Linked DNA regions of Oryctolagus cuniculus. The protein of the gene in region 2 interacts with the protein of the main gene of each other region in a pairwise test. Links are inferred from orthologs where the notes say so. Each region holds a gene or a part of one and is shown on either strand. Other genes may lie near its edges.

The links.
Region 1: the proteins of EEF1A1 (region 2) and LAMTOR5 interact in a two-hybrid assay, tested with the Homo sapiens proteins (2 studies listed by BioGRID and IntAct). The link is inferred for Oryctolagus cuniculus from reciprocal best matches to the Homo sapiens genes EEF1A1 and LAMTOR5.

The regions. Positions count from the first base shown.
Region 1 is NC_091438.1:59,942,433-59,949,961, forward strand, and holds the start of LAMTOR5 (ragulator complex protein LAMTOR5), read left to right. Parts: upstream 1-3,350; 5' UTR 3,351-3,447; coding exon 3,448-3,482; exon of another isoform or gene 3,483-4,227; coding exon 4,228-4,289; exon of another isoform or gene 4,290-6,183; coding exon 6,184-6,301; exon of another isoform or gene 6,302-7,529. UniProt on the Homo sapiens protein: As part of the Ragulator complex it is involved in amino acid sensing and activation of mTORC1, a signaling complex promoting cell growth in response to growth factors, energy levels, and amino acids.
Region 2 is NC_091436.1:99,025,805-99,033,217, reverse strand, and holds EEF1A1 (elongation factor 1-alpha 1), read right to left. Parts: upstream 4,104-7,413; 5' UTR 4,076-4,103; coding exon 3,932-4,075; intron 3,675-3,931; coding exon 3,495-3,674; intron 3,382-3,494; coding exon 3,085-3,381; intron 3,005-3,084; coding exon 2,854-3,004; intron 2,753-2,853; coding exon 2,496-2,752; intron 2,330-2,495; coding exon 2,095-2,329; intron 1,993-2,094; coding exon 1,868-1,992; 3' UTR 1,583-1,867; downstream 1-1,582. UniProt on the Homo sapiens protein: Translation elongation factor that catalyzes the GTP-dependent binding of aminoacyl-tRNA (aa-tRNA) to the A-site of ribosomes during the elongation phase of protein synthesis.

The sequences.
Region 1 (7,529 bases), on a different chromosome or scaffold from region 2:
GTTCTCACCTGGGTGACAAGCAGCTCGGGGAAGCTGCTTTTTGATTCCCACGCTGAGCCAGCCCCTCTGACTGGTGGGTACCCCTACATCACACGAGTAGGTGGAGGGAGGCGGGCAGGCAGGATGCAAATCCCTGTCGGTCTGACTCCAAGGCCGCCCACCTGGCCTAACGCTGTCTGGACCATGCTTTGCCAGCCCCTCTGACTCATGGATGCACTGCTCTCAACCCATGGTTGTCTGTGGTGGTGGTGCCCCCTGGTGGCACAGGAGGGCTCCACAGGCACTGGGCAGCAGAGTCCTCTGCACCCAGGGCACAGCTTGACTCCGCCAGAGCTGTGTTTCTCAGAGGCATCCCTCAGAGACATCTGCTTGGGGTGAGGGCCCAGCAAACAGCAGTGAGATGACTTCTGGGGTTGGGGCTCCCCCTCTGCATTGCATCCTCCCAGTCAGGGCACGCGGACGAGGGCCTGCTGGGATTTCCATTTTTCCAGGCACTGGTTTATGGAGGATGGGAGACAGGAGAGGATAATGCAGTCGGCATTCAGGACTTGAAGACTCTTTGCCTGCCATGCAGTCTTTTCCCCGGGCCACCATCAAGACGCTTCAGTAATCTATGGAACTCCCGTGGTGCTCTGTGGCACTCGGGAGGCAGACCCAGAGAAGGAGCTCTTTCCGACATTACAAAGTGAGCATAAAAAAAGTACAGGGGCTGGCAGTGCAGCGCAGCAGGTAAAGTTGACACCTGTGACACTAGCATCCCATATGGGCACCGGTTCAAGTCCTGGCTGTTCCACTTCCAATCCAGCTCCCTGCTAATTCACCTGGAAAAGCAGTAGAAGATGGCCCGCGTGTTTGGGCCCCTGTCCACATGGGAGGCCTGGAGGAATCTCTTGGCTTCTGGCTTCAGCCTGGCCCAGCCCCAGCCATTACATCTGGGGAGTGAATCAGAGGATGGAAGACTCTCCTTGCCCCTCAGAACTCTGACTTTCAAATAAATAAGTCTTTAAAAAAAATACTAGCAGGCAAATGCTCCCTGTGCCAGACTGCATGGGGCAAACCAGTAGCAGCAGAGAGCGAGCCACTTGGCGGAGCAGGCTGCCCTCCTGCCTCTGGTGTGTGCCCACTGCCATCCTCCTCCTTCTGTTCCCCTTTGCCGGCATTCCTTGCAGCCTAAATACCAATGAGCAGCCTCAGTGCCATCTGGCTTGGCGGTCATCTGAGATCCGCGGGAGCCACATTGACCATTGCTGTGGCTGCCAGCCTCTCACGGCTGCTGAGCACTTGAAACGTGGATCCTGTGAATGGAAATGGGCTGGTAAGCATGAAATGTACATTGGATTTTGAAAACTTTATGTTGAAAGGATATTTTGGATATACTGTCTGGGTATGTAAAATATTTTCTTAAAAGTTAATTCACATGTTTTTAGACTTCTCTGATGTGGCTACCAGATCATTTCACATAAGGAGTGCCCTGTCATCTTATTTCTGTTTGCAGGCTGCCTAAGAGGTTAAACACATACACACACACACGCACACACCAAAAACCCAAGGCTGCACCTCGCAGCCCGGTAAAACGTTACACACCGAGTAACCACAAGGGGGCGGTCCTGCAACGCATGACCAGCAGGAAGCAGGCTGGCTCCCCAGCCAGCCGTCACAACTTGGTTTCCAGTAGTTAGTAAGTACTTCACTTACATGTCTGATTGCAATCTTGTGAGGTCAGCTTTTAAATCCTTTTTCCTAAAAATGTCTATGGTCCATATTGTGTTGTCCTTTACCAGAAATAACTCTTCTAGGGCAGGAATCCAAAACCCTTGAAAAGCAACGCACAAAGTGGGATTTGAAGGAAGCTGGAAGCTCCCCTCTGACCTCTGGGAATGAAGAGGGACTTTGCCCTCCAGGCTGAAAGCGCCCTGAGCTGGCCATAGTCAGCAGGGAGCCCGGGTAACAGCTGCAGGTGAGAGGGCTCAAGCACGCTTCCGGTAAGGCGAGGCTTAGCAGAACTGGCAGGACACACAGGTGCGCTCCTGTTTTCACCAAAGTGCTACCATCTGAGTGCACGCTGGCACTACCTCTGTGCCAGCAATTCACGTCCATCAAGTCTTAAAAACAACCATATCCTTTGGCCCGGTAATTCCACTTCTAGTAGCTTACCAGGAAAATTTTAAACTGCACAGAGATTTAGCCAAGAGGATATTCACCCAGCAAGCTAGTATCCAAACTGTACATTAACATGGAGTTGGTCAAGTCAGTTAAAGCACATACGGCTGAGACATGGAATATTTTGCAATTAATAAAAACTAAGTATTTATTTTTAAATATTTTATTTATTTGAAAGAGCTGCAGAGAGAGGTAGAGACAGGGAGAGAGGTCTTCCATCCGCTGGTTCACTCCCCAGATGACTGCAATGGCGGAGCTGTGCCGATCCAAAGTCAGCAGCTTCCTCCGGGTCTCTCTCGCCAGTGCAGGGGCCCAAGGACTTGGGCCATCTTCTACTGCTTTCCCAGGCCATAGCAGAGAGCTGGATCGGAAGTGGAGCAGCTGGGGCTCAAACCGGCGCCCATATAGGATGCTGGTGCTTCAGGCCAAGCCTTTAACCCACTGTGCCACAGCACCGGCCTCAAAACTAAGTATTTATTAACACGAACAGACATTTATGCTAAAACCTGTGCAAAGGCTCAGCAAAGGAATCATGTCCAATATTTTTTTTTTTTGCTTAGAAAAGAACAAAAGCCATTTAGAGCATACCTCTGCAAATACATCCACCTGAAAGGGACTGCAGTCACTTCTGGCAGTGGAAGTGTGGGAAGTGTGGCTGGTTTCCTTCCTTTATTTTTAATCTTGGCTTTGACAGCTTGTAAAGCTGTTTTCAGGGAGTGTCACCCCAGTCCTCCTTATGCGTTAGGTATCACACGGCACCTTCTGGCCCCAAACCTTCCTGAGCCCTGATCACAGGAAAAGCAGTGTCTTAGTTAAAATTCCAACACGTTTTGCCAGCGCCCCGCTCCGGGTTTTACCCGCGGGCCACCTCGTCCTTTGTCCCGGGTGTACGCCCTTCAAGGAGCCCGTGGCTCCTCTGGCCACTTGCTCCATCCCGCCGGGCCCGCAGGGTTACTGTCAAACACCATCCTGTCCTTGGGTCTCGGAGTCGTTTGCACTGAGACCAACGGACAAGAACCATTGGGCCAGACTGCAGGCCAGGAACTGAGGCGCTGGGGCCTGGCTGCAGACTCTCACCCCGCGCAGCCCGAACCCTCAGGGAGACGGGAGCACGGCTCGGCGCCGTCTTCCGGGAGAGAACTCGGACGTGGCGCCGCGGCGAATTTTGTCCCATCGGCGGCGCCGTCGCGGGCAGCGGAAGGCTCGCGTCACGTGACGGAGGCCCGCAGTGAAGCGGAACGCGACGGCTCCGGGGGCCCGGGCGGGGGTGCGCTGCCGGCCGGCGGGATGGAGGCGACCTTGGAGCAGCACCTGGAGGACACGTGAGCAGTGCGGGCCTCTCCGGCCAGTTCTGAGGTCGCAGCGCGGGTTACGTGCGGGACAGCGGGCGAGACCCGCGAGCGCCGGAGGGCGGCTCGGGGACGCCGTGCCACCCCAGAAGGCTGGCCGAGGGGACGGGGCCGGTGGCCCGAAGTTAATATCCCGCTGGGGCCCGCAGCCTTCCTCTCGGGGCGCCGTCCGCAGGATTAGGTCGTTCAGGAGGGTGTCGCAGGTGTGCCGTCGGCCGCACCGGGTACACACACACACAGATCGTGTGTGCGATCTGTCATTTGGTGTTTAAGGAAATACCTGTTCCTTAAATGTGTTAACGTCTGTGTAAACTCAAAGCTGCAAAAGTCTAAGGTGTACGTGCAGACACCACCCTCCCAGCCACTCCCTCGTCATCCCACTTCCCTTCCGGGAGGCAACGCCTCTTAGTTTGTCCAGTTGTCTTACCTGAGCTGTTACGTAAAGCGTGCGGTTAGAACGGCGAAAAACCCCGCATCCGAACTGTTGCGTGCGCCTAGGCTTCCCAAACCCAGCAGATACTCATTCTTCTCTGCAGCTGGCTTCAATTACTACTTTAATTTTGCTCGGGGTTGGGGAGTGTGGTAGGAAAGAGGTCGAGAAACCCATTTAAAGCACTTAGGCAATGCCTGATAGCATGGCAGGCCCACGGGCGTCATAACCGTTTGCATCCACTTTCTCAAGCCCTCTGCCTCACCTCTCCTGTGTTTCTGGAATTAGGATGAAGAACCCGTCCATTGTTGGAGTCCTGTGCACAGACTCACAAGGCCTCAATCTGGGCTGTAAGTATCTCCTGCCAACCCTTTGCTGGACTGCGCCACACCTGGTGTTGACCAAATAGTATTTGAGTCATTTCAAACTGGGCCTAGACAGGACTCGCCCATGAGAGCTGTGAGCATGTGCTGAGCCATATGCGAGGCTCCACCTGCCTTGCTGCACTTTCCACAGTATCCCTGCATGATGGGTGGGTGCAGTGTTCTAGTCCAAGTACACCAACAGTGAAAATAGGAGATTCTGAGTTTGGCACAGCTGAGTTCAAACACTCCCCCCACCCCCACCCCGTTCTTTCATTTGCTAGTTGTGTGAACTTGGGCCTAAATGAACCTTTCAGGAACTTTTTTTTTTTTTTAATATTTATTTATTTATTTGAAAGAATTAGAGAGAGGGAGAGACAGAGAGATCTTGCATCCTCTGAGTCATTCCCCAGATGGCTATAATGTCCAGGGCTGGGCCAGGCCAAAGCCAGAATCATCCAGGTCTCCCACAAGAGTGGCAGGGACCCAAACACTTGGGCGATCTACTGCTTTCCCCAGACCTTTAGCAGGGAGCTGCATCAGAAATGGAGCAGAAGGACACAAACCGCTGCCAATATGGGATGCCGGCATCAGAGATGTGTCATGGCACCGGCCTCCATGGCATAGCTTCACTGGGCTCTTGTTTACTGAGACTAGTGCTTACAGAATTGCGTGCTCTTCCTTGAGTTCCAGGTACCATTCTAATGGTAACTCACGCACTCCTCCTAACAACCAACGTGAGGCACAGAGGTAAAGTAGCTTGCCTAGGGTCATAGGGCGGTAATTGGCTGAGCTAGAAATGGTGTCAGGGTCCAAAGCCTCTTCAATCACAATGCCGTGAGATTATATAATATGCTTAAGACAGTGCACACCCAGATGGAACATGCTCAGAGAATGACAGCAATCACAGATGAGGAAATGATAGATAAGGAAAATGATAGATAACTAGAGCATTTAGTTAATGTCAGAACTAGTAAACCCAGGACACGTCTTAGTGCAAGAATTTTTAAAGCTCTGAATTTTTGCTGCAAGGGTAACAAAGCGGTAATCTATAACTCAGTTGCTTGGAGAAAAAAGGCAAATGTTTTGACGCTTTTGCCAGACTCACTAATGGAAATACTGAAATGAAGTGTGAAACTCTATTAGAGTTGCTTCAAGAAAGCTTCAAGGTGCAAAAGATGGCGCCGTGCTGGTGAGTTGCTGTCAGGAAATCCCTCTGCCCACCAGCCACAGGCACGGTTCTGCTTGGCCTGCCTTCATACACACATACAGGACACAGTAAACTCAGCAGTTACATTTTGTGCTTGGGACCCAAGGTTCCGTTATCATATACAAGCTAAAGCAGTCAGGAGTAGAAGACAATCGTGTGGGCATTTGAAAACAGCCAAGTAGCTATGCTAGCAGAAATAACTGCTCACAGAATGTTCACACGTGCCATCGAGGAGATCTGAGACTGCGTGACTCCTCAGGAGAGGAAATCCGCTTTCCCATGAGGAATGAATTAGCTTCAGCAAGCCTCTTGCGCGTATTGACTGCTTTTTGTCAATCTCACCTCTAAGCTTTTTGTTTTCGCAAGGTTCCTATCCAGTGAATTTATGGTTTTCAGAGTGACCTGAATTACAGCGTCCTGGTATGTTGAAGCTGTTTACAGATGGTGATAGGTGTGTCAGTTATAGCTTACTGATTTATTGATTTTTGTTGCCCGGCTTTCTCACTGATGTAACCACTGAGCGTCAGGGAACAGTCACTTCATGTAAGCACCAAACTTAAAGGACCAGGACCTGAACCTCCTCTTTGTGAATCATTCAGTGAGATACTGTTGCTCCAAACTTACTTGTGGCTCACCAGGTGCCCTGATACCATCGTTCTCTCTCTCTCTCAGGCCGTGGGACGCTGTCAGATGAGCATGCTGGAGTGATCTCTGTTCTGGCGCAGCAAGCAGCAAAGCTAACCTCTGACCCCACCGACATTCCTGTGGTGTGCCTAGAATCAGATAATGGGTGAGTAGAGGCCTCAGATCCTTTCCTTTCTGTTCAGAAAAACCCCTGGACAACTTGACTGAGGCCTGCTCTGTGTTCCTCAGTGACTCCATACTCAAAGTATGTCGGAGCAGGTTCTTGACCCTTTGGGCCATGGGAGCAGACAAGAATCTTGGAAGCCAATGTGCTGGCAGACCACAGTGACACTTAAATGAAGAGTAAACTGTTATTAGTCTCCCAGGAAAACAGAAGTAATTAAGTACCACAAAAGAAAACTAATCAAAGCATCAAGCCTTTTTTCTTTTTTTTTTTTTTTTTTAAGATTTATTTATTTGAAAGAGCTACACAAAGAGGGAAAGAAAGAATCCTCCATGTGCTGGTTCACTCTTCAGGTGGCCACAATGGCCAGGGCTGGGGCAGGCCAGAGCCAGGAGCCTCATCCAGGTCTCCCACATGGGTGGCAGAGGCCGAGATTCCATCTGCTGGTTCACTCCCCAGATGGCCAGAATGGTTGGAGCTGGGCTGATCTGAAGCCAGGAGCCAGAGCTTCTTCCAGGTCTCCCACGTGGGTGCAGGGGCCCAAGCAGTTGGGCCATCTTCCACTGCTTTCTCAGGTGCATTAGCAGGGAGCTGGATCAGAAGTGGAGCAGCTGGAACTCCAACCAGCGACCATATGGGATTCCAGTGCCCCAGGTGGCGGCTTTACCCGCTTTGCCACAGTGCCAGCCCCCATCAAAACTATTTCTAAAGTAATAGAAATACTAAACGTATTCCAAGTGAGGGTCTTTAGAATACGATGATGTGAAGAGATAATACAAAACTATGCACAATATTGTTTTGTCCAAAAGAGAATATATGCAAATAGGAAAATTAAAAATAGTTGTCTATGAATAATAGGATTAAGAATTCATTTCATTTTTGTATTTTACACTTTTTTTTTTTTTAATTTATTTATTTGAAAGGCAGAGTTACAGAGAGGCAGAAGCAGAATCTGCCATCCACTGGTTCACTCCCCAAATGGCTGTAATGGCTGGAGCTGGTCCAGTCCGAAGCCAGGAGCCAGGAGCTTCTTCCAAGTCTTCCACATGGGTGCAGGGTCCCAAGGACTTGGACCATCTTCTGCTGCTTTCCCAGGCCATAGCAGAGAGCTGGACTGGAAATGGAGCAGCTGGGACTTGAACCATTGTCCATATGGGATGCCGGCACTGTGGGCGGCAGCTTTACAGCACCAGCCCCCTTAAGCTTTTCT
Region 2 (7,413 bases):
GGTTAAATCTCCTGTCCAGTTGGACAAAAACTTTAACTGCATAAGATACAAATAGTATCATTAAAACCCTAGCATTGCTACATACAGAGGCTGGGTTTAATAGGGAACAACTGTCTCACTAGAGCAGAGTGGGTAGACTGGCACAGCTGAGGTTTACTAGGCAAGTAGAATTAACCATAGGAAAGTGATGGGGAGGTGTAAGCTTTGAGTCTTGAATGTGGTCAAAACCCAGTGATTGTTATTTTGGGTAAGGATTTAACAAAAAAATGAAGTTACACCCTAGTATTACCCCCAAACCAGAAACACCTTTCCTAATATGCAAGATCATACCAGAATCCCTGGGGCAAATTCAACAGCTCAAATTAAATTACAGCTATGAAATATAGCACTAGGTTTAAATATTCAATTTAGCTTGAAGTCCAATCCAAAATATGTTTTCAATCAACCACACAAGTATCACTTTGTCCTTTGACTAATGTTTAGCATCTACCAGTAGATGGTGCTCAAAACCAATTATCTAAAGCACACATGCAACTGGCTCTCAGTAAACTGCCATGTCCTGCCCTCCCCATTTTGCAGGGCTATCCTAGTACATCTCTTCTAGTAAACCCGTTAATAGCCAGCTACATCTCACCTCCCCAAAAAGCTGCAGGCAGCATGCTCATGTGAACAGCTCTTGTACAAGGCAGGCTAAATGCAGTCAGTTTGGCTACTTTTAATAGTTCTATGGGGTACCCTGAAATTCTCAGAACACCAGCCACTGTAAGGCCACCTTTTCAAACCCTGGTTCAATCTGAATTTACAGACCTTATTTTGCCTTTCAAGCTGCATCAAAATCCCAGGGAACACACCCCTTTAGATTACCAAATACTTACAGAATGTTGGAAATCCTATGTTAATTAACTCCAAATTAGAAACCTCAAAGTTATCATATCCATAGTAAATCACCGTGTAGATTCCTTACTAGTGACCAGCCAGCCAACAATCCAAAGACCCAGTACACTTGATCATGTCAAGTGAATACCTCCAAACTATGATTGTCAGCAATCTCCATGCTACTCATGGGTCACTAATACCACTATGAACCTCAAGAATAAAGCTTATTTGAAAATATGCTTTCCCCACCTTCCTGTATCTTAATTCTGATCATCTGTGGTCCACTTCTTATGTCAGGCTACAAATCCTTTACCAAACTGCTTTAGAAGAAATCTGTTAGAAATGGTGTTCTCACTTACATCAGGAAACCACTTTTTACGTTTTCTTAGGACCCTAGAAACCAGTGCTGTTTTACTAAAACTTCAAGTAATTTGGGAAACCAAAATTTAATGATTCTAACAAATTTACTTGTAGCTACACAATTTTATATGCAACATTTCATCCCTTAAGATTACAGAATTTTGCTTTCTAAACTAAATTACATGTCAACAGTTCTAACCAGCAGGGCTAACAGCCCTCCATAGCTTAAAACAAACAGGTGGGAAAAAATCCCTAACCCATGGAGTTTTAAAATTCCAGCCAATTCTAATTAGAAAAACCTGGAACACATTTGACAGGTCCAGTGTTGACAAGAAGACACAGGTTTCTCATTAAACTTTGTTTTAATGGGTCTCAAAATTCTGTGACAGATTTTTGGTCAAGTTGTTTCCATTAAAAAGTACTGATTTTAAAAACTAATAACTTAAAACTGCCACGCACAAAAAAAATGGTCCACAAAACATTCTCCTTTCCTTCTGAAGGTTTTACGATGCATTGTTATCATTAACCAGTCTTTTACTATTAAACTTAAATGGCCAATTGAGACAAACAGTTCTGAGACCGTTCTTCCACCACTGATTAAGACTGGGGTGGCAGGTATTAGGGGTAATATTCATTTAGCCTTCTGAGCTTTCTGGGCAGACTTGGTGACCTTGCCAGCTCCAGCAGCCTTCTTGTCCACTGCTTTGATCACACCCACAGCAACCGTCTGTCTCATATCACGGACAGCGAAACGACCTATTAAAACAAGTATTGAGTTGCCATGAGACACATAGTTCACAGAAGCAATTGTTAATCTTTAGTACAACTTGTAATAGCAATAAAAAAAAAAATCCTTACCCAGAGGAGGATAGTCAGAGAAGCTCTCAACACACATGGGCTTGCCGGGAACCATATCAACAATGGCAGCATCACCAGATTTCAAGAATTTAGGGCCATCTTCCAACTTCTTTCCAGAACGACGATCAATCTTTTCCTTCAGCTCAGCAAACTTGCAAGCAATGTGAGCTGTGTGACAATCCAGTACAGGGGCATACCCAGCACTGATCTGACCTGGATGGTTCAGGATGATCACCTGGGAAAAAAAGGATATGCATTTTAGTGCTTCTCAAACTGAACTGTGGTAACAGCTAGAAATGCTAACTCCCCTGATGTGATAACACTTCATACATGCATCAGATTGCTTACCCCCTTGAGTATGCATGAACATTGTCAATTAACAGATCATTTTAAATTGTTACCTGAGCAGTGAAGCCAGCTGCTTCCATTGGTGGGTCATTTTTGCTGTCACCAGCAACGTTGCCACGACGAACATCTTTGACAGACACGTTCTTGACATTGAAGCCCACATTGTCCCCAGGAAGAGCTTCACTCAAAGCTTCATGGTGCATTTCGACGGACTTGACTTCAGTTGTGACATTGACTGGAGCAAAAGTTACCACCATGCCAGGTTTGAGAACACCAGTCTCCACTCGGCCCACAGGGACAGTGCCAATACCTAAAATATTTGCAGATTACCAAAGAGTTATTGAGGGCCAAAGATTTTTCACCTGTTCCAATTCAAGTTATATTCTGATGTTACATTAATACCCAACTTACCACCAATTTTGTAGACATCCTGTAGGGGCAGACGCAGAGGCTTGTCAGTTGGTCTAGTTGGTGGAAGGATGCAGTCCAGGGCTTCAAGCAGTGTGGTTCCACTGGCATTGCCATCTTTGCGGGTGACTTTCCATCCCTTGAACCACGGCATCTGAAACACAAGAGAACAATTAATTCTATCACATCACCACTTCCAGCTCTTTAACAAGCACTGTCTTGAAAGTCACTTACATTAGCACTTGGCTCCAGCATGTTGTCACCGTTCCAACCAGAAATTGGCACAAATGCTACTGTGTCAGGGTTGTAGCCAATTTTCTTAATGTAGGTGCTGACTTCCTTAACGATTTCCTCGTATCTCTTCTGGCTGTAGGGTGGCTCAGTGGAATCCATCTTGTTAACACCAACAATTAGCTGTTTCACACCCAGCGTGTAAGCCAGAAGGGCATGCTCACGGGTCTGCCCGTTCTTGGAGATACCAGCTTCAAATTCCCCGACACCAGCAGCAACAATCAGGACGGCACAGTCAGCCTTTAAAGAAATCAAGGACACACACTGTGAACGAAGGTACCTCAAACCTAAGGAGGAACTCACCCACCCCCCGCCTAGAAAACCTTATGTCTACAGTTACTAGTTGCACAAACCTGAGATGTGCCTGTAATCATGTTTTTGATGAAGTCTCTGTGTCCTGGGGCATCAATGATAGTCACGTAATACTTGCTGGTCTCAAATTTCCACAGGGAGATGTCGATGGTGATACCACGCTCACGCTCGGCTTTCAGTTTATCCAAGACCCAGGCATACTTGAAGGAGCCCTTTCCCATCTGTAATTACACAGAGCACTCAGACGGTTACTAAGACACAGCAAAGCTTGAAACCCCATGCCCCCCTCCGCTTGGGAATGCATTCCGCTTCCCAAACTGCTGGGCCTAGGTGGCTCTCCAGTCGATATGGTGGCTCGTGATTTTAACATTCACATTCAGACAACTAATCACTGTTGTCTTTTATAGTCATAGCACTCTCATTTTAGTGGCCAGACTTAATGTAATTCAGCATCTTTCCCTTGCGATACTGGACATACCTCGGCAGCCTCCTTCTCAAATTTTTCAATGGTTCTTTTGTCGATGCCACCACATTTGTAGATCAGATGGCCAGTGGTGGTGGACTTGCCCGAATCTACGTGGCCAATGACGACGATGTTGATGTGAGTCTTTTCCTTTCCCATTTTGGCTTTGATTTAGCGGTGGTTTTCACGACACCTAAAATGGAAAAAGGGGGGGAACCTTTGAACCACTGTCCGAGGGTTGAGACTAAGCCACGTTCAAAACTCAAAAGGGCAAATTCCAAGGAGAATTACATCCAATGCCAAGCTGGCCTAACTCTTCAGTCTCCACCCACCGAGTGAGTTAACTCCATCGCCTAAAAAATCTCCGCCCCCAGCCGAGCCAAGCCGAACTCCAAAGGCCACACGAAGAAGCCAGGTGCCCAGACGGCGCCCTGTACCCCGTGGGGTCGCAGGAAGCGGCGGCCGAAGAGGGGAAGGCTCTTTTCCTTTGTGTGGGTGACTCACCCGCCCGCTCTCCCGGGCCACCGCGTCCTCCATTTTGAGCTCCCTGCAGCGGGGACGGCGAGCGGCCATCTTTTTCCGCGCACGCAACTGGTGCCGAGCGGGCCGGGCTCCGCCGCCCGGGGTGGGGCGGCCGCGGCCCCACCGAGCCGCCCGCCCCACGACCCTCGCCTCTCCCCTCGCCCGGCCTGGGCAGGCGCGGCGCCGTCGGGCCTCGCCCAGGCCGCGCCCGACATGTGCGCCCGGACGGGCGGGCCCCGCCGCTCGCTGTCCCTACGCCGCGCGGCCGCCCTGCCACCCCCTCGGGCCGGACGACGAACGCGCGGGGTAGCCCGCCCGGCCTCGGCGGGCCCATCTCGACGAACAAAAAAAGAGCCGTACCGATCCACGTAAAAACTCAAAGGGCCGAAGGGCCCCGCGAGCGAGGCTAGCCAGGCCGGCGCGAAGGCGAGAGGACTCGCACGCGGCGGCCACGCCAGGCCTCAACTCCAGCACGAGGAAGAGGCTCCTGGAAAACGCGCAAACCTCCAACCCTCCCGCCCCGTTACAGCCCGAAATTCGGAGCCAGGAACCTCGTCAAGAGGCTCAGTGGCATGGCAGTGTCCCCGAGCACGCGAGGGCCCCAGCCCGCTCAAGGCCAGACCCGCGGAAGCCACACCCGACACTCACCTGTGTTCTGGCGGCAAACCCGTTGCGAAAAAGAACGTCCAGGGCGACTACGGCACTTATATACGGTTCTCCCCCACCCTCGGGAAGAGGGCGGAGTCAGCACACGACACCGCTTTCCCAGTTTGCCCCGCGCCACCTCCACTAGGCACCGGTTCAATCGCCGTCCCCTCCCCCAACGCCTCGGGGACCGTGGGCGATGTGCGCTCCGACCACTGACGAGCACACAGCGCCTCGCGCATGCTCGCCTCGGTCCCGGTGACGACGAGCGCGAGGGGTAGGGGGCGGGGACGCGGCGATCTCTCGGTTCTAGGGTAACGGGAGTTTAGCGACGGTCCCTGGGCTTCCCCGAGACTGAGGCGAGTCCTCTTTTGTATGAATTACTCTGGGCTCTGGCGGCGAGAGGTGGGGGGAGGGCGGCGGCGAGGGCACCTCCGGGGTCTTCCACTCTCCCCGCTGCACCGCAGAGGTATCGAGGTTCGGGGTGTCTTCCCGCCCAGTCCTCAGCCTTGGCGCCTCGCTGGTCTGAGAGGAAGCCCCGGAGCCTCTTCCTCTGTGGATCACGGCCGGGTCCTGCTGCTCCCTCGCCTCTGCCTTCTGCGCCCCTCCGGTCGGGAGAGGCGTGCAAGGCCCCGGGACTCGGGGCAGCGCGGGGCTAAGGGCTCGGGGAGCGAGAAGCCGGGAGGGGCTCTGCCCGATGGCCGCGAGCACCACGCATCTGCTCCTGGGCTCGTTCCACCAAAGCCTGTCGCCTTTCTGGACGCCCGTGATACAAGTCGCCGCCTGGGGTTCTCCAGATGTTGGGTGTTTCAGTTTAGAACAGACTTCAGTCCTACCGTTAGCTGTACTTCTAATCCTGGTTTTGTTGGGCTAAGACTCTGGAAGAGAGTTCGTGGTCCCATTTTTTTCATCGTGTGCTGTCACTCGACTGCAAGCCCGAGAGGCCATGCTTCGCATTCAGCCTTCCCACATGATCTCGCAGCGACTGAGATCTACAGCATCAGCAAGCTTCTCCCAGCTTCCTATTTCCAACACTTGCTGCGAAGCCACTGCTCTGAAAGCCCCCCTCCCCCATTGAAGTACATGTCTTCCTTTTCTGTTGGCCTGTTGATCGTAACTGTTATTGATTGTAACTATATTTTAGCATAAATGAGATTCGGCCTTTGTAGATGGCTGTCAGGTTGGCCCTGTGAAACGCTCCTTTGAGAAAAGAACATTCATTTTTAATAAGCTGACTGCTGGCTCATTGTGTCAGGCGCAGTAACATCCCTGCCCGACTTCCCAGGCCAATCTATGAACAAGTATTTATTTGAGGACCTGTTATGCGCCCAGTGCTGTGTGAAGCATTGAGGGGTGCACAAAAGAAATAGTTCCTCCTGGAGAAGAACCCAGCATCAAATTGGAGCAGGAGAGTAATATGTAAACCACGGAGAAGCAGTTAAAGGCACATTTGTACAGTGCTCGTTTCTGTTTCATTGTAGAATAAAGTTCTAGCCCTTGCATTCAGTTACTTTTCACAGTTCACACTCTTTTTCTATTTAACTGAAAGAGGTTTTTCCGGAATTGTATCTACTTGTTTTACCACTCCTTGTAGACATACTTCCTAAAAAACAGGTTTCTCTATTTCTTCATTAGGCTTCTAGCCTACTCACTTTCATTTAGCTTTGAGATAGTTTAGGGAATCTAGGCCAAATAGTTTCCCCAGAAATATATATATATATGTATAAAACTTTTTTTTTCTATCCACAAAAGTCTTTTCTGTAATATATATATTTTTAACTTCTCTACTTTCACAAATTCTCTAGTCAGATCAAATTTTCCTAGCCTTTGGCTAATCATATACACATGGAATAAAATTATCTTGATATTCTAGTCCTTGGCTGTAATAAGAGAAAGATGTCAAGAAGTACTGATGAAAAGCAATCACCAGCAATAGAACAATGCAAATACTTCTGCTCTCTTGCTATCTCCATGGCAATATTTATTACTGTCTACTTTCTTTGGAATTACATTCCCACAATCTGTAATGTTATTATATCAAAGTAACATCGACTGTACTTATTTCAGATTAAGATTATGGTGCTATGTTAGACTTATTTCCATGCCTTCACGAACAGTGTGTGCTTCAAATGGCTTAGGTTTGCATGCTGTTGGAGAATGTACTAAGACATTTTATCAAAGGTGGCAGGTTTTTGATAAACATGAAGGCATGGCTAGGAAGAAATGGTCATTTAGGAAAAGAGGCAAAGATGAAAGACTGGAGTTTTACTTGGGATCCAGAATCGTAGCTAACATCTAATCTAAGAATAAAAAGTCAAAATGAAAGTAGA